Alligator mississippiensis: one gene and its partner. The protein of the gene in region 1 interacts with the protein of each later gene in a biochemical or structural test. Links are inferred from orthologs where the notes say so. Each region holds a gene or a part of one and is shown on either strand. Other genes may lie near its edges.

Region 1 (8,899 bases):
ATTTGGGCAAACACAAATCTCTAAGAAAGACTATTTATATAAAGGCACAACGTAGTAACAGCTCCCTCTATTTTTTAAATTTGGCATCATGCATTTTAAGAAACAACAAGAATGCCCTTTAAAGGTTCAAACAAAAGAAGTTATTTGCTACTTCAAGCTGCTATTTGTTAGTTAGTTATTGCTATATTCCTAATACAGAAGATAAGACAAGAAAGAAAGAGAAGATGCAGACATCTGCAAATTCATTTTCTTCGTGGAAGAAAATATGGATTTAACTACCATCTCATTTCACCAAGTAGCAACACAATCTGCCTGAGAGTGAAAAAAACCCCATCAGTGTGAGCAGGTTTCATGCTCCCCCAGAAGGGGCAACATTTTGCTTTTCCAGGAATAGGATATTACTTTGTTAAAAAAGGAAGCAAATTCCAGCCCAAGCTGTTTCTATATGCTTGGCTATTCCTAACAATACCTCATCTACCCCAGACTCCAGAACCTACTGTATAGAACCACTCCTACCTGTGTTAGAAACAGATAGAAGTGACATCCATCCCAAATCAGTGACAGAATATGGCACCAGGGGAGAAAGGGAGCTATTCAGAATATGCCAGTGATGTGTGGAATAAGATCATCGCCATGCCGACACTGAACAAAAAAAGGTTAATACTCTGACTAGAAACTAGTCAGATATTTATAGAACAATTCTACTGTAGAGCAAAATTGTTCTTTGACCAAGAAAATACACTTTAAAAGTAACATGCAAATCAATTCTCTTACAGCATCAAACTCCATGAAGAAATGTGAGTGAGAGCACAAAGCACAGCATACAATAGCAAATGCAATTAAGTGTGATATTCTGTAACCCTGAGGCATGAAGCCAAATGGCAACCAACGTGGTATCAAACCCATGCCTTCAGTTCAAAATCATTGTCCACTAAAAACAGAAACTTAAAAAAAAGAGCATTGATGTTTGATTCTTAACATTTTCTTGCTCACACATTTTGAATACTAGTTTAAATATAGCCATAACCTTAATTTAGGTGTATATCAACACCTAAACATATCAAGTATATCAAATATATCAACACCTTGATATATGCATTCTTAAGATTTTGCCAGCACTCTCAGCTTTAATCAGATTTCTAGAATCTTCTTGCAGCCTGTGCAATGTTTGCGGTTAAGCAGAAACTAAGCTCAGCTTGAGAAACTGGGTGGTTTTTTTTGAGTTTCGATTCTGCTCACAGGAGAATCTTAAACTAAGCTCTGGAAATAGGCATCCTCTCATAAGAGCCACGCCCCCTCCCCCCAAGCTTGCAGAGAGGCTCATTTCTTTCTGTATTTTGTAAGAAACAATACAAAAAGTAATTCCACTAACATCATCAACAGTATCCACTTGGAACAGCCAACCTCTTGGCATTCTTCACACAACAGCCAAAGTCCAGCCAGCAACAACATTTTGTTCTCAAGGCCTGACACTACCGCAGTAACAAACGAGATTCAGTAGTAAGCAAACTAGAATGCGTTAAACTTAAACCAACCTGATTCACACGTTTTGGAATCTCTGTTTTCACTGAAGAGAGCATATTCTGTAAGGCAAGGAACACTAACATGATTAACACAGCCGTAAAAAAAAGGAAGGAAATTAAGTGGTTACATTCACATGTGTAGTTCTCTCTACTGCAGCGACCAATACATTTCTCAGGACAAAAGCTATGACTCCACAACCACTTATACATTACAGACATAGCTTCCTGTCTAACTCTCCAAAGGGTAGTTTTGCAATATGTCTTTTTAGAAAGAAACAAGGGATGTGGCAAATGAAGTAAAAACACAAACACATCACATTCAGTATCATGCAGCTAGTACAAGTCTATGCTTCTAGATGCAGAGAAGGCAGTCCTATCACACAAAAAGTAACTGTATACAACGAATAGAGTGGAAGTGGTCTTTTCACAAGCTCCACATGTGATTCAGTTCATGCCAGGTAAGTGGGTTTCTTACTTCATTTTTCCTAGTTTGTTTAGATAGATATTGTCATCATATTTAGTCACCGTACCTTTTCTCCAAAACCAAGAAACACAAGCAGATTCACTCACAACCCTTCTTTCATACCTTCAGCCAAGTACTGCTACAATCTCATGCACTTGATAGAACACATACACTTCTACAGACCCCTTTATTTGTTAATTTCAGAGTGCTACATACTAGTAGCACCCCTCATCAAACTTAAGACACCCCTTTTAAGACTCATGACACCCCTCTGAAAATGCCATCTCTTAGTTTTCACACAAAAAAAAACAACTCAGCTTGCAACAGGTCAGAAGGTTTGTAAATCCATGTATTCCTATTGAAATCTATGAGTTTATCTTGAAAACATTCTTTGCACACTTAACAGTGCTAACACTGCATGATGACACCCCCAACAGCATCCTTGCTGGGAGAATCAATCAATCTTCAAAAATTCTTACAAGATACCAGAGCACTGTTCCCCTTTTGAAAGGTAAACATATGAGGTGCAAGATTAAGTGCCCAACATTATACAACAAATCAATGGTAAAACTGGAAAGGGAACCAAGGCCATCCCCCAGTTCCTACTCCCTGCTTTCACCACTGATCTATACTCCCTAGAAATCTGTTTCAATAGTATTAGACTGCAAGGAGTGAAAAGCTCCTCCACTGGGTGTAGAAATCACTACTTACCTTCCCTTTGAAAACTTCTTATGCTGGGTCGAGTCAATTTGACAAAGGGATATTCACTCCCTAAAACAAAGAATGTGTTAAATGCATAACAAGCTCAAGCACCATGCCATCATTTCTTTCTCCCAACCACTTCAGCCCTCCATTCCATTCCATTCCATTCCATTCCATTCCATTCCATTCCATTCCATTCCATTCCATTCCATTCCTTCAAGAATACTATTAAACTACTCCCTCCCCCACTGCAGGCACACCAGACCCTCAAGCAGTTTGTTCATATGCTTGAGATTTGTGGGACGGGGAGGACAAAGTGAATGGTATATCTAGGGCAAAGGAGCAAGGTACCAGCAGAAGCCAAGAGGAAGGGGAGTGGGAATAGAATAGGCTGTGTATAAAAAAAGGCAAACAAGTATGGTGGACAGGAGCACAGGCATCTATAACTACTATGACACAATCGAATCTAGACCCTGAAAATGATCCCAGGATCCCCAGGACCCAAAGTTTCCCAGCTTTCTGGGAAGTAAGTTTGAATGCCATTGGCAAAGCATCCCTCATCCCTCTGTAATGGATATTCCACGAAGAGGATGCCCATTAATTCAAGTGCTAGAGGTCTGTATTTTGGATGTAGAAGTCAAAATAAGCCTTTGCCTAAAGTAAAAAAAAGCAAACAGGTAGGATTCAATCCTGAATGAGCAATACGATCCAAGAAAAACTCCAAATCCTATCCTTTCGTTCACCATGTGAGAGTGATTTCTGTGAATGCGCCATGTTTAATCATACACCAAATTTGCCCCCCAACTCAACCCTAAAGCATCAGTGATCATAATCTGTGGATTGTCAATTTCCCTTTACATCATTAGTGGATTAAGAAATTAATTTCCTCACACCCAAACCCCTTGCAAAACCCCCAGTCTTGTAAAAGAGGGCAAGAATAATAATAATAAAAAGACAAACCCCAGGGTAACTCCACTCTACTAAGCACAGATGAAACTATCCTAACCATCACGGAATAACTAAACTTCAGGGAACTGTGAAACCAGAGGTCTTGCTACATAGAAGCTTGGAGGAAGGCAATTTCTTTGCAGAAGGTAGTAAGTAGCAGAACGCTCTTGGCTAGAGGTGCATGATACGTCAGTCCAATATCGGATCAGCACCGATATAAAGAAAATCGACTGTATCAGAAACCGGCCTGATGTGCCTGATACTGTGGCAGATAAATGTAGGCAAGGAGAAGAGCTGTGTGCAGCTGGTAAGTCTGTTGTGGTAGAAGGGGGAGTAGGGAGGGAAGGGGCGGGGGACAGATCAGTTGTGGCACACCAGCTCGGTGGCTGACAAGAAAAGAGAGCAAGTGGATGATTCCCTTCATACCTGCCCACTGCCGACCACCCACCCACAATGGCTGGGAAACCATTTGCAGCTCAGCCAAGCCCCAATTTGCACCTCTAGTGATGCAGTACCCGCTCTACCACCTTGCTGGGTGGACTAGCACCTAACACAGTTGGGAACACCCCCGGGGGGGGGGGGGGAAGCTACCCTAGTTCAGGAGACTCCAGTCCATGAAACCTCCCTAGAGATTTTTAGCAGCGACCCCACAGGAAGCTCCTTGTGGCATCGGGCACCAGGCGGGGGGCCTCTCTCGCAGCCTTCCCTACCACCCCGCCGGCGGGCCACGAGCTGCCGACCCGCCCTCCGCGAAGAGCCGCCTCCTGGGGGCAGAGCCGCAGCCGTGGGGGCGGCAGCGGGGCAGGTGCTGCCATCACAATGGCTCCCGCGGCTCGGGGCGGGCGGCGCCTCGGGCATTTCCCTGCTAGCGGAGGGGCTGGTGCCGCCGCACCGGAAGGGAAGGGAAGGGGCCTCCCTGCGCAAGCGGGAAGGGCAGCCACAGCCACCTGCCCTGGGCACGGGGCTGAGCGTAGCCGCAGCGAGGGGCCGGACCAGCCCCCGCCCCAGGGCCCTCCAGCTCACCTGCCGGCGCGTCAGGCATCCCGCGCCGGGGCGCGGTGTTCGACGGCCTCGCCCTGCCCGAGGCCCCGTCTCCCGCCCAACGTCCCGCCGGCGTCTCCCCCGCCGGGGGCCGCTGCCGCGAGCGCAACTCGTAGCCCACACCAGCCGCCATCGCCGCCGCCTCCGTTTCCGTTTCCAAGGAGCCGTAGTCCCGCCCTGTTCGTCCCGCCGAGGGCGGGGCCAGAACGCGCACTTCCGCTCCGCTGTGCTTGGGGCCGGAAGTGCTAGCATCCCCCGGCTCGGCCGCGCCTGGCTCGGGGCCGCCATCTTGTGGGGCCCTCGGCTCGGCGGCGCAGCACGGCCTCAGCGGGGCCCGCGGCGTAGCGTGGGCGAGTGACATGGCTTCGGGCCTGATCCGGTCCGGGTTCGTCTCCCTCTCCCCTCCCTGCGGCCGCCGGGGTGCGCGCAGTCCGGGCCGACGCCGCGTCTGCAGCCGCTGCTTACCGGCGCCGCTTGTGACGGGCAGCGGCTGCGGCGCCGCCCCCGGCTCGGAGCAGCGAGGAGCAGAGCTGGGAGAGCCCGGCCCGGGCGAGGCCGCCCTCCAGCGGGCGCAGTGAAAACAGCCTCCCGGGCGCGACGTGGAGCAGCCCAGAGCGGACCCTTGGCATGAGGCAGGTCCTACCGGACCAGTTGGGCGGCGGGGGCCGGACGGGCTTTCGCCTCTGAGGCGGCAGGACGAGCTTGTGCCGCCTGTGCCCCCGCCATGTTGCCCCGTGGTTTCCGAGAGGCTAAGCATGATCTTATTCCAGCCAGCTCAAGTTCCTGAAAAAAACAGCAACGTGCCTAAGTTTTAAGCCTAAATTGGACAAAGTCACAAAAAGAAGCAAGCGCTCTCTGACGGTAACAGTTTTTCATGGGCTCAAGAAGGTCGGAAAAGGATTTCCTTTACAGCCTCCTCCTACCATTCAGAGATGTTTTACAGACAGTACTTGGATCTGGCCCTAACTCTTCCCTCACCCTGCTCTGCTGAAGACAAGTAGCACAATATTGCTCTTGTGACCTTTGGTAGCAGATCGAAGATAAAGGAGCAGCGTGCGTTAGGTCTGCGCGAAACGGAAGCATTCTGTTTCGACCAACGGTTCGACGGAACAGCGTTTTGTTTCGAGTCGAAACGGCTGTTCCGTATCGTTCTGTGGAAACATTTCTACATTTCGAACCTGTTTTGACATTTCCCCCGTAGGATATAATGGGGAAGGTCAAAACAGGCTATAACTTTGTCATTTCTGGCCTGATTTAGATGAAACTTGCAGGAATGATAGCCCCTTACGAGGGCATGAAGCCTGCCAAGCTTCAAGGAGATAGATGTAGGGGGGTTCAAAGAAACTGCACCCCAAAGTCTTGAGAGCAAAAGTCCTATCACTTGTATGTGTGAAGCCACAGCGGGGTCAAAACTGCAGGCTTGCTAGCCCCTGCTGAAGTAATGAAGCCTACCAGGTCTCAATGAGAGGTGCAGCGGCACTCTGGGTTCTGGGGCCCTACACCTCTGGCTGGTGACAGGCAAAACTCATGACATGGGTGGGTGACTCTGTGTGTTCAGGTGCGCCCTTCCTGGCACTGGGGCCTCTGCACGACACAGCAGTGTGCCCCAGTGAGTCCTCCTCCCCTACAGCCTCAGTCCAGTCTACCACAGTAAATGATGGCAGGTGAAAACGTAGCTGGCTCAACAGCAATAGCACCAGCAGCATCTAAAGTAGCCAAACAACTGTCACAGAGCCTTTCTTGTAAAGGAATTGACAGCAAGAAGTAAAGATGTTGTGTTGGATATATGTTACTCGTGGTGTGTGTGATGGCTTATCCTGTGTTTTTATGTTTGTATGTTCTTTATGAAAAAAAAAGGAATAGAGAAATATCTCTTAGGAAGCTTTCAGGTTGAAAAACCCTTTGTCAGGCTGAGGAAGTACCTGCGGTTGGTGTGTCTCTTGGTCCTGGATGGAAGGAATAGTAAAGAAGCCAGAGGCTGGCCTGGCACGCAATGCAGGCAAGAAAGGCAGTCAGTGAAAATGGAAATGGAGGCGTGAGGGTGAGGGAAAGGGTGAGGTGGAAAGGGGGATGTAAAAGTGCAGAGGTACCTAGGGTGTCAGATGTCCAGCAGGTTGCAGTGTGCCAGAATTCCAAGCACAAACTCAGCTGATTCCCCCTCCTTCCCCAGAATTTCCCTTGCTAGGGCACTGAGATCCAGATCCAGCGCCAGCTCTTCTTCTGGCACTGGAAGGCTCAGCATGGGAAGTGACATAGGGGTGGAGTAGACTGCTGCGATGGTGCTGGTGCTGCTGGTTGTGGTCATGGTGGGGTGCGGTTATGGCTGCTGAGCGTGGAGGGGATGCAGTCTTGGGCGGGGCAGTGGCAGTGGCACCACTCCCCTCTCCTTGCTGCTTTTAGCGGCCTCATCCCTTTCAGCTGGAGGAAAGAGGCTGCGTCTCAGTTTGGTGAGGGGTAGGGGGGACTTACAGCTCTCCCTCTTCCACCCCTCCCTGAAGGCTGGCCAGTGTTGCCACTTGCCTTTCTACCACTCTTCATGAGGTGTTTCAGGACTTCCTTTTCAAGAAATATATAAATGTATTTGTGTTCCTATATAAACTCAAATCTGTACTACTGGTGCAGGCAAGAGATTTATGAACATGGTAGAAATATATATGTCTGTGGATATAAATTCAATAGCGTTGGTATGGTGCAAAGAATGTCCGTATAAAAACAAATATATATAGTAAATTCCTATATAGAATAGGTTCTATAGTAACCCTATCCAATATAAGTATAAAATTCAAAAGAATAAATCAATGAATACAATAATAAAAGCACCTACAAGAAAAAGGTATTCTGAAATCCCTCTCGCTACAGTAACAAGCAGGGAACCCTTTAGAAAATCAGTGCTGCTAGCCCTAGTGGTCTGACAGTGAGCTGCTAGAATAGACAGCTCAATAAGTCACCCAAGGCAGAAAGCAGGAGCAGGTCCAAAAAATGCTGCCTTTTATGCAGTTTTTCTGTCCCTCCCCCAGAGCAATGGGGTTGGAAAGGACCTCAGAGAAGGGTGACAGGCACTGGCCAGTTACACATGTCAATAATGACAGCACTCCTTCCCACTCACCTCTCCCCCTCCATCCCCTTACTTTACTTTCTCTTTCCCCGCAGGGAAGCAAGCCAAGCCATTGAAGGTAAGCCCATAGCCCAGCTTCCTGGTCCAAACTCGAAACGTTTTGAATTTTTCCAAACGTTTTGACCTGCCCTGTTTTGTTTCGACCCTGTTTCAGCCCTGCCTGTTCTGTTTTGACTTTGCTGTTTCGAGGTCGAAATGGCTTGAAACAGCGTTGAAACAAAACGGGCAGCAAAATTTCACACAGCCCTAGTGTGCACCTTCCAGCCAGGCCAGGAGTGAGCGCAGAGAGGAATAAGTCCCTGCAGTGAAGGACTTGCTAGTATAAAATCCCTTGGCTTGCATTATGCGCAGGGGTTAGTCTCACTCATCATAATGATTCCTTCTGGCTTTATCATCATCATGCATCCTGCAGCATTTATATTCTGTTAGTGAACATGGATTAAGGGAATGTTCACACAGTAGGAACTAGATGACATGTTTCAGTAACTTTGAAGAAGAAACTTATAAGAACTTAAACATTTCCTTAAATATGGCTCACCCTGTGCAGTATACTTCCAGTTTTCTAGACAGTATCAGATCACATCTCTGATCCTTTTGCTAAGAGGAGGTTGGGAATTTTAGGCCAGCCTTTTAGTTCCTGTGTCTTGTGAGTAGCTTGTTCTTATGGCTAATTCTGTCAACATCACTATTATAGGGACAGGTAGTATGTTGAATATTGCTATTTTCATTTATAGAAGCTAATTTTCAAACCAGTTCCTAAACTTTTTTTTTTAATAAGCAAAGCTGATTTAATGAAGTGATCAAAAAGGCCAACAGGAAAAGGGCTAGAACCTGTATTTTCTAAATGGACACTGAGTTGAGAAAAATATCTTTCTAACATGCTTCCAACATAACAAATAACAGCAGATGATTATTTGTATTATGGTAGCAACAAAACACTCTAGCTAAGATCAGGATCCCACTGTGCAGAGAGATCAGTGATTTCCCACCTCTTTCAATCTGCACCAGTTCAATGAGAGAAACGCTTCTTTTCCCTTTCCAGTCCCCCAATGGCAGAGAGAATGTTAACTGAAACTTTTATGTGGTACAGTATACCTATGAGAAATA
Region 2 (9,121 bases), on another chromosome or scaffold:
TGACATTTCACTAAACAGAGCTGCTCATCATGTGAAGGCGCACAGCAACCTCTCTCAAAGACAGCAGCTCAGCGCTATGGGCAGCACGCGCATTGGAGAGCTTTCTGCTAAAAGGATTCAAGTACGTGAAACAGTGAAGTTTCACGGGAATCCTATAAATCCCACTGGAGACCGCTCCAACAGAAGCGTTTGATTCTTAAGTATATTCCAGAGAGGAAACACAGAAAATCAGTGTGATACTAGACAGGGATGCAGAACCACCAATCCAAACACAAGGATTTACAAACCCATAGTTAACAATATTACTCACTATTCTTATTATTGAAAACAGACAGAGAGACCACATCATTCAGTTCTTTGAGACTTATGTCTTCCCTTTTCTTTCCATTTCTCCAGTAATCCAGTGCCACTTCTGTTATCTTTTCTGCCCCTGCATTGCTATGTTAAGGAGAAAAAGTTTATGAGCTGGATGCTATTTCATAGGGCCCTCAGTCTTAGCACTGTAAGCAATTCAAGGCCATTCCTTACCTGAGAAAGATGAAGATGGCTTGCCGATAAGACACCCCATCAAGTTGCTCGTAATAATCTAAGAATGGTTTAATGGAGTCTATGAGTCCTGCGTGCATTTTATCCATTTCATCAAATATAAAAATTGACCTGGCGCAGTCACTCACATTCCCCCGAATCCAGGACTGCAGGTCATCCTATGGTACACAAAGATACAAGGATGTAAGCTCCATGTGCACAAGATCATACTGAACACACAGAGCACGCGATGACTTTAGATCCCTGTCTTTTGTATAAAAGATCTAACATAAAATTGTCATCCAACATAGCTTGGACTTCTTCACTGAAATCTGCATCAGAGCAATAAATAATGATGAAATAATACCGCAAGAGATTTACCTAAGGGTTCTTCAAATAACCTTAAGAACTCAAAAAATGAGATGCCAGAAATAATCTGCTCTTAGGAAAAGACTTTGTGCAAGCATCAGCAGAGGACAGAACTGTACTTTAGCCAAAACAATGACAATGAATAAGAAACAGAGATCTAACAGGACCAAGTGATGCCGTATATGGCATGCTACTTTCTTTGGATGATGCTTTGCATTTACATAGCACACTTCATCCTTTGACCTCAAAGTACCATACATCCACTTACTAGCTCAAATGCAGTCAACAAGAAGCTCTGTTCCTAGCTGTGCCGGTGACTGACTGTACAGCCTTAGATGGGAACAAAATCTAGAATTCATGATGTCTGGTTTTATCCTTTAACCACTAGCACATAATCTAATTGGAGGGAATTTAAAACATTTGAAAATGTGTGATTTTGTTCAGAAAAGTGGATAACCTTACTCAAGTGTTTTCTTACATCATATAAGAACACTTATGTTGTCTCACCACCTTCCACCCAGTCAAACACCTGCAGGTGGCTGCTCATTGCACCAGGTGGGCGGAGCGCATGAAAGGTAGCTGGAAGCTGGAGCCCCAAGCACTAGGGCAGAGCCACCTGGCTGCAGCTTCCCCCACCAACCCCCTGCCTGGCTGGGCACATGGTGCCAGGCTCACGTCCTCACAGCTGTCATCACTGCCCTGCACTACCTGCTGCCCAGAGTGGCACAGCCAGGGAAGCAGGAGGACGACGTGCTGAGCAGTACCCAGGCAGCTGCAGCAGCAGCAGTCCCTCCAGGAAGCTGTGCATGCTGGACAGGGCTGGGACTGTCAGCAGGTGCAGGCAGGACTCAGATCCCAAGCAGAGCAATGCAGAGACAGCCACAGGCCATATACAGTCAATTGGTAGGGGCCCACCTCTGGGCTAGATCCAAACAGCTGATGGGCCAAATCTGGCTCACAGATCCATATTTTGGCTCACAGGCCATATTTTGCCCACCCCGTGTCTATGTGTTCAGGACATAATATAAATATTCGCCAACTACTGAACAGGTGGAAAAGCATCAACCACAATTCACAGGAAGAAAGGAGGGTGAATTGTCCAAAACAGTCAGTGGCAAAGTCAGAACAAGAACTCAGAGAAATGCCATTTCTTGCGCACAGTCTCCGTCTCAGGTAGTTTTATGACCCTATTACTAGTTCATCTGAGCATTTCATGATCTTTGTATAACTGGGCCTCAACACTCCTTGTGAGGTACTACCACTACTTTACAGTTGGGAATTAAACCCGTCTCCCAACTTCCTGGCTTTGGTCACCACAGCTGTTTCAATCTATCTTAAGGTTTTCTATAGCACCCATCAGCATTATATCCAAGTGTGATACCCAATTGTATCCAGAATCCCTGTTATCATCAAGTCAACCAGACTGTTGGACCAAAATATACAACAAGGAAAATGAAAGGTCTCATACTCTCCCCCTCAAGAGGGATGTAAAAAGGTGCATAAACACCGTCTTCTACACCAGCGGTTCCCAAACTCTGAGAGATCGCACACCACCGATTTAAAACAATACAACCTTAAGTACCACCAGCAAATTTGTCGTATAAAGTAACTATAACAAAGCTGTTAGCACGTACCACTGACAGGTGGTCTGTGTGCCACTGGTGATACACGTACCACGGATTGGGAATTGCTGGTTCGACACGCTTCAGAAAGCGACAGAAGGGCTGTCCCTCACAATCGACCCTCAAGCGTGACCAGCTCCACAACGTGCCCTTACCGTATATTGCCTGATAAGACTCGCGTGTGGAAAATGCAGAGTGGACACAAACTGATGGACGTATTTGCTGTTCAAGCCCGACTTGTAAATGTTCTCGACAATGATTTTACTGGCGTAGTTCTTGCCTGTGCCCGTCCAGCCATGCAACGAGAGGGCGAGAGGCTTTTTGGGGTTCGCATTGCTCAGGAAGCCGGCGATGGCTTTGACAATCACCTTCTGCGCGAGGTGCTGGCCGAACAGCCTCTTCTCCAAATCCTGCTGCAGGGCTGCGGCGAACGCGCCAGCCGCGGCACGCAAAAAAGGGAGACGGCAGGTTTAAAGTCAGAACTTGGGAAGCGAGAGAGGACACCCGCTTCTTCACCCCTTCGAGGCGAGGGCTGGGCTGGGCCGGAAGAGAAGCGACTGCCCTCCCTAATGCAGGCCCCAGCTCCCCTCAGGGGCGCCCCAACCCCTCTCACAGGGCAGCCCCCCCAGAACAGGACACCTTCCCACCACAGCCCAGCCCGTCACGGGGCAGCCCCCTCCCTTCACAGGGCAGGGCCCCTCACCTGGCCCGAAGTGCCGGCCCAGGCGCGGCCCGCAGCACTCGGCGAAGAGGCAGTAGAGGGGCCGGTAGGAGATGTAGCCCGTGATCGCCGAGGCGGCCCCGGCCAGCGCTAGCCCCAGGCTGACGGGCTCCACGGCGCGCGCGGGGCTCAGCAGCAGCAGCAGCACCAGGCCCAGGGCGGCGCCCGCCGCGCCCCGCAGCCGCCTCATCCCCGGGCTCGCCGGGCCCCGGCCCCGAGCCCCTCACCGGCGCTTCCGCTTCCGCCGCTTCCGGCGCCGCCATTTTGGTTTGGGGCAGGGCGCGCGCGCGGCCATTTTGGAACGGGCGGGGCGGTCACGTGACCCCCGCACCCTCCTGCACGTGCAGTCGTTGTGCCTGCACACACACCACCCCTGCACAGGGAGCCAGGCACGACCCAACCCGTGTTATCTCAAGGCAGCGCACCAGAAATAAGGCCAGTAGTTGGGAATACCCCCCCCACCCCCCGCAATAAGTCCAAGCAAACAAAATGCAGGGTGCAGAGGTGACTCCCCGCAGCCACAGAGAAGCGGCAGCCAGCACAGCCGCGTTGTGGCCGGTCCCGTCGTTCGTTCGAGCCGGCTCCGAGAACAACCGGATCGAAGCTCGCGAGTTACCCGCCTCCAACGAGAACACACTGGAAAAGCACAAGTCTCGCTGCTCCGTTTTCTTCCTCCAAAATACACTTCTTCTGCAAAACTAATTTGGGTCCAATTTAAAAATCCGTGCAGTCTTAGGCTCTCAACAGTTATTTTCAGCGATGAGAAAAAAGCGGGGTCCATCTCCAGCACCAACCCCCTGAGTATCCCTGAAACCAGAGATTCGTATCCAGGCACAATTATGTTTCGAGCAGAAAGCAGCAAAAGTAAGCTGTCCTTATTAGGCAGGAAACTTGCCTAGAATGAAGCATTAAGTCAGTCCACGATGCATATCCACACATACTGGAAAGGTAGCCGATAAGCATTTTTTGATTAAAAACTTTTATTGACAAAATACAAATCTTATTTAGAAATCAGAGTAAAAAATGTCAGTAGTGTTTCGACGTATAAATATGACTGGCACATATAATAACTTTAGCTGAATCCTTACAGTACATAATTCTTTTTCAAGGTAGTGTTTTATCTTCATCTGTTCCTTAATAGCTCTGCCTCATGTTTGGGGGGAAAAGCAAGGATAGATCACAAACATACTAAACAGGATCGATTTATAAAAGTTGGTGAGTAAAGCAAACTGTCCCTTATGCCAACCACACAATAAAGAAGACTTAAGATGTGCGGTCAGTTCCCAGTGCCTGTGACTGAAACCAACTATCTGAACAAGAAGCCTCAATGGATTTTACCCAACAACCTTTTACATTGATCCCACAAGGCAGGAGAAACACCAGCATGAGAACAAACTGCGTATCCAACTTCACATATCAAAAAGCTAAAAGTACAGGCTACCTCCTCCATTGCAGGGACACTGTCACGGATTTTGCTTTAGGGTATGGTTTTTTTCTCAGCATTGTTGAAAAATACTCCCCTAGCAAGCTGGATGCCTCACACTGCTAACGCTGTTTGGCACCAAAGGATTTGCTCATAATGGCACTGCATAAAACCAGGTGATAAGGACCGGACGTCTTATACCAGGTTCTCTCACCTATTGGTTCCAACAGAGCTGAATGCACCAAAAATGTTTGTAGTCTAAGGAAACTGCCCCCCCCCTCCCCCCCCAATGTATTCACCATTCAAAGCAGGTCTGATGATATTCCCAACTACAACACCGAGGAAGGGTCCTGAAGACATAAGAGTTCTGTTTAAAAAGTGCCATACAATACCGAGATCATTTCCACATCAAATAACAACGTGGTGAAAACTGGCATAGCACGTGTACCAGGGTTCTACTGCACAACTAACAATCAACACCCGGTCTGAGAATAATCACGTTAAACAATGATCCATAAGGGGCAACTTCTCCATAGACACGTCTTTCCTAACTGAACAGCACAGGCCTGAAGTCTAAGGCTCTGCAGTCACTCAGTGGCACAGAGCCAGGAACAGAGCTTATTGTTGACTACATTTGAGCTAATAAATGAATGTATGGCAAACTGAAGACAAAGGAAGAAGTGTGCTCCCTAAATGCAAGGTGTTACCCAAAGGAAGTAATGTATAGTATAAGGCATTACATGGTCGTAATAGAGCTCTGTTTCTTATTAATTCTTATTTAAAGTACAATTCTTCCCTCTTTGTGGATTCTTGCACAAAGTCTTTTTAGGAGCTGTAGCTACTGAAAGTTTCCCCTGGATAAAAATGAAAGTGATTGCCACTTATTTAAATCAGACAGACAATTAAAAATGGTATTGCTCTCTTTTCTAAAAAAAAAAAAGAAAAAGTGCTTGAAAAATAATAAAAAGTTTTGGTTTTCCCCGAGCTTCTTAAGTTCATTTGCTGCTTTGCAGATTGCAGCATCATAAAACATTACTATTCCTAATCAAAATCAGCGTTGGGTATAGTTTTGCATCCTTTTCGAGAATACAATTTTTCCTCCTCGGGGAAGTAGGTCATTTCATCAGCTACTCTGCTTACAATGTCTTCATCCACAGGGTAACCACGTGTTTCCATTTCCACCCTGACACACATTTTCACATGTTCATACTCCAGAGGTAGGAAGGGGACAAAGAAATCAATGAGGTTTCTGTCTATCAGGCTGCTGTGCCAAAAGCCACCTGCAAAAAAAATAGAAGAAAGCACAAGCTTAGATACCTGAGGCATCTACCTCATTTGTAAAGAGGAAGAAAGCTGGGACATAACATTTCACTAAGCAGAGCTAGTCATCATGTTGTGAAGGTGCAGAGCAAATGTTACTGAGGGTGCAGGAACAAACCATCCCAATGCGCAGGAAGACTAGCAAGAATGGCAGAACAGCTTGGCTTAGCAGGGAATTCCAGTGAGCTAAAACACAAAAAGAAAGCTTACAAAAAGTGGAAACTTGGACAAATAACTATGGAGGAGCATAAAAGCATTGCTCAGGCATGCAGGGATGAAATCAGGAAGGCCAAAGCACAACTGGAGTTGCATCTAGCAAGGGACGTGAAGGATAAAAAGAAGGGGTTTGACAAGTATGTCAGCAACAAGAGGAAGATCAGGGAAAGTATGGGTTCATTACTAAATGGGGGAGGCAACTTAATGACAGAGGGTGTAGAAATGGCTGGAGCGCTCAATCCTTTTTCACCTTAGTCTTCACAGGCAGGTTCAGCTCCCAGACTACTGTACCTGGCAGCACAGTTTGAGGAGAAGATGAGCAGCCAACAATGGCAAAAGAACAGGTTAGGGACTATTTAGAAAAGCTGGATGTGTACAAGTCCATGGGGCTACACAGGGCACACCCAATGGTCCTGAGGAAGGGTGATTGCAGGGTCACTGGCCATTATCTTTGAAAACTCCTGTTGATTGGGGAAGGTCCCAGACAATTGGAAAAGAGCAAATATAGTGCCCATCTTTAAGAAAAGGAAGAAGGAAGATCCAGGGAAGTAGAGACCCATCTGTCTCACCTCAATCCCTAGAAAAATCATGGAGCAGATCTGCAAGTAATCCATTTCTAAGCACTTGGAAGAGAAGGTGATTAGGAACAGTCAGCATGGATTTACGAAGGGCAAGTCATGCCTGACCAACCTGATTGCCGTCTATAATGAGATGACTAGCTCTATGGATGCAGGGAGAGCAGTGGGCACGATATACCTTGACTTTAGCAAGGCATTTGATACGGTCTCCCACAATATTCTCTCAAGCAAATTAAGAAAGCACAGGTTGGATGAATGGACTGTAAGGCAGATAGAAAATTGGCTGGATTATTGAGCTCAGAGGGTAGCAATCAATAGCTCAAAGTTTAGTTGACAGCCGACATCAAGTGGAGTGCCCCAGGGGTCGGTCCTGGGGCCAGTTTTGTTCAATATCTGCATCAGTGACCTGGAAGATGGGATGGAGTGCACCCTCAGCAAGTTCATGGATGACACCAAGCTGGGGGGAGTAGTAGATACACTGGAAGGTAGGGCTAAGATTCAGAGACACCTCAACAAATTGGAGGTTTGGACCAAACGAAATCTCTTGAGATTCAATAAGGACAAGGATTGTTCCTGCACCCATAATGGAACAATCCCATGCACCAGTATGGGCTGGGACTGATTGGCTAAGCAGCAGCTCTGCAGAAAAGGACCTGGGGGTTACAGTGGATGTGGCAGAGCACCAGTGGGGTGCTCGCCACTTTAGGGCTGTCACAGGCTCTGGGGGAGCCTGTTTTGGGGAGCAGCAGGGAAAAGCCTTCCCTGTTAAACATTGTAAGGGCTCTGCCACCTTAAGACCTGGATCAGACAGCAGGCAGGTGCAGCCCAGCCCTGATGAGCAGCCTTTTAAGTACCACGCCAGCAGGGCTGGGGGCAGTACTCTGCTGTCAGATATGGAGGAAGTGATGTCTCCTGGAAGAGCTGCTGCTCTGAGAACAGCTTGGAGGTAAGGGTGAGGCTATGGGGAAGAAGGAGGCCTTAGTGGTCCTGGGCATGACCTAAAACCGCACCCTCCTGAGCTAGGGAGGCTTGGTGGTCCTGCCTGTGGCAGGGCAGGGCCAGCAAATTCCAGGATCAAGGACCTCCCTGGTGTATGGTGGGTTGGGGCACCTAAAGCCCTGCCCCTCCACCACTCGGTGGATCACAGTGATAACATCAGAGAGTAGTGGGGCCAGGGACATCCATAGGGGACACCTGTGCTCATTGGGATGCAAGATCCTGAAGGGGAGTAGTGGAGGCCAGGTTTGCTTTGAGAAGCACCTGAGCCTGAAGGGATGGAAGACCCTGTAAGAAGAGCAGTTCAGTCCCTGAGAGAGGGGGCAAGCTGTGGGCCAGGCACATCGATGAGTGGCACCTGAGTCCACGGGGGGTGTTCGACCCCAGGGCACAGGGCAGAGTAGATGCCTCAGTGGAGGTGCTGTTGCAGAAGGGCACCTGAAGGGCTGCACGGGGGTGGCAGCTGTGAAGCCCTGTGAGTGAGGGGCATGAGTTGGGGCCTGTGAGCGGGGGCTTGAGCGGAGGCCCTGCTAGCATGGGGGGGCCTGAGTTAGGTCCAGGTAAGCCTTTGGGGGCCAGAGGCCAGTTGGAGGGTGGCAGAGGAGCTGCGAGGAAAATGGGCAAGCCACCAGCCCCTTGGCGGAGAGGCCCTTGATGGGGGAGTTACCCAGAAATGTGATGGGGCAGAGCTGGCACAGCACGTGGTAAACTGCCCGGCGCTTGCTCACATGAGGATAGTGGGAGATGCCCGAAAGGCTGTGCGCTTGCTGGTCAGGGAGTGAAGAGTAGCAAGTCTGAGGACCCTCTGGGTGAGGACAGAGTGGCTGTGATCCCTGCGAGAGAAGGGGTGGTACAAGTGAGGCCCAGGAAGAGCAGAATGAAAGATGCCGGGTGAGAGCCAGTGGAGAGTGAAAGGCCTCTGAGAGGGAGGTGGTATAAGTGTGGCCCTAGCAGGGCAGAGTGACTGAGAATCAATGCTGTGACGAGTTGGGCCCGGCCTCAGGCTGGAGCTTAGCACAGCTGCTGGCAACACCTGCGAGGCATGGGACACATAGGGGTGGTCTGAGTGCGTACGTTTGGCCCTTGTCAACAGGGCAATCAAGGGTAGCCTCCTGCCTAATTAACAACTCAATTATTTACAACCAAGGCATGGCAGGCAGGCATCGTTGCCCAAAGCCAGGTGGGTGGCCAGTACTCTGGTCGGGGAGTTCTCACTTGTCACAGGGGACAGTAAGCTGGATATAAGCCAATTGTGTGCCCTTCTTGTGAAGAAGGATAACAGCATACTGGGCTGCATTAGTAGAGGTGTTGCCTGCAGATTGAAGAGGGGAAGAATCACTTCCTATTCAGC

What was found.
Region 2: the proteins of torsin-1A-interacting protein 2 (region 1) and torsin-1A form a complex in vitro, tested with the Homo sapiens proteins (4 studies listed by BioGRID and IntAct, with this or other methods). The link is inferred for Alligator mississippiensis from reciprocal best matches to the Homo sapiens genes TOR1AIP2 and TOR1A.

Annotation. Positions count from the first base shown.
Region 1 is NC_081828.1:51,638,288-51,647,186, reverse strand, and holds the start of torsin-1A-interacting protein 2, read left to right. Parts: upstream 1-5,505; 5' UTR 5,506-8,899. Other genes in the region: TOR1AIP1 (torsin-1A-interacting protein 1), read right to left, coding at 1,536-1,583, 2,698-2,757, 4,660-5,434. UniProt on the Homo sapiens protein: Required for endoplasmic reticulum integrity. Regulates the distribution of TOR1A between the endoplasmic reticulum and the nuclear envelope as well as induces TOR1A, TOR1B and TOR3A ATPase activity.
Region 2 is NC_081835.1:58,706,310-58,715,430, forward strand, and holds the start of torsin-1A, read right to left. Parts: upstream 3,450-9,121; 5' UTR 3,428-3,449; coding exon 3,220-3,427; intron 2,938-3,219; coding exon 2,672-2,937; intron 705-2,671; coding exon 529-704; intron 439-528; coding exon 311-438; intron 1-310. Other genes in the region: torsin-1A, read right to left, coding at 5,702-5,940. UniProt on the Homo sapiens protein: Protein with chaperone functions important for the control of protein folding, processing, stability and localization as well as for the reduction of misfolded protein aggregates.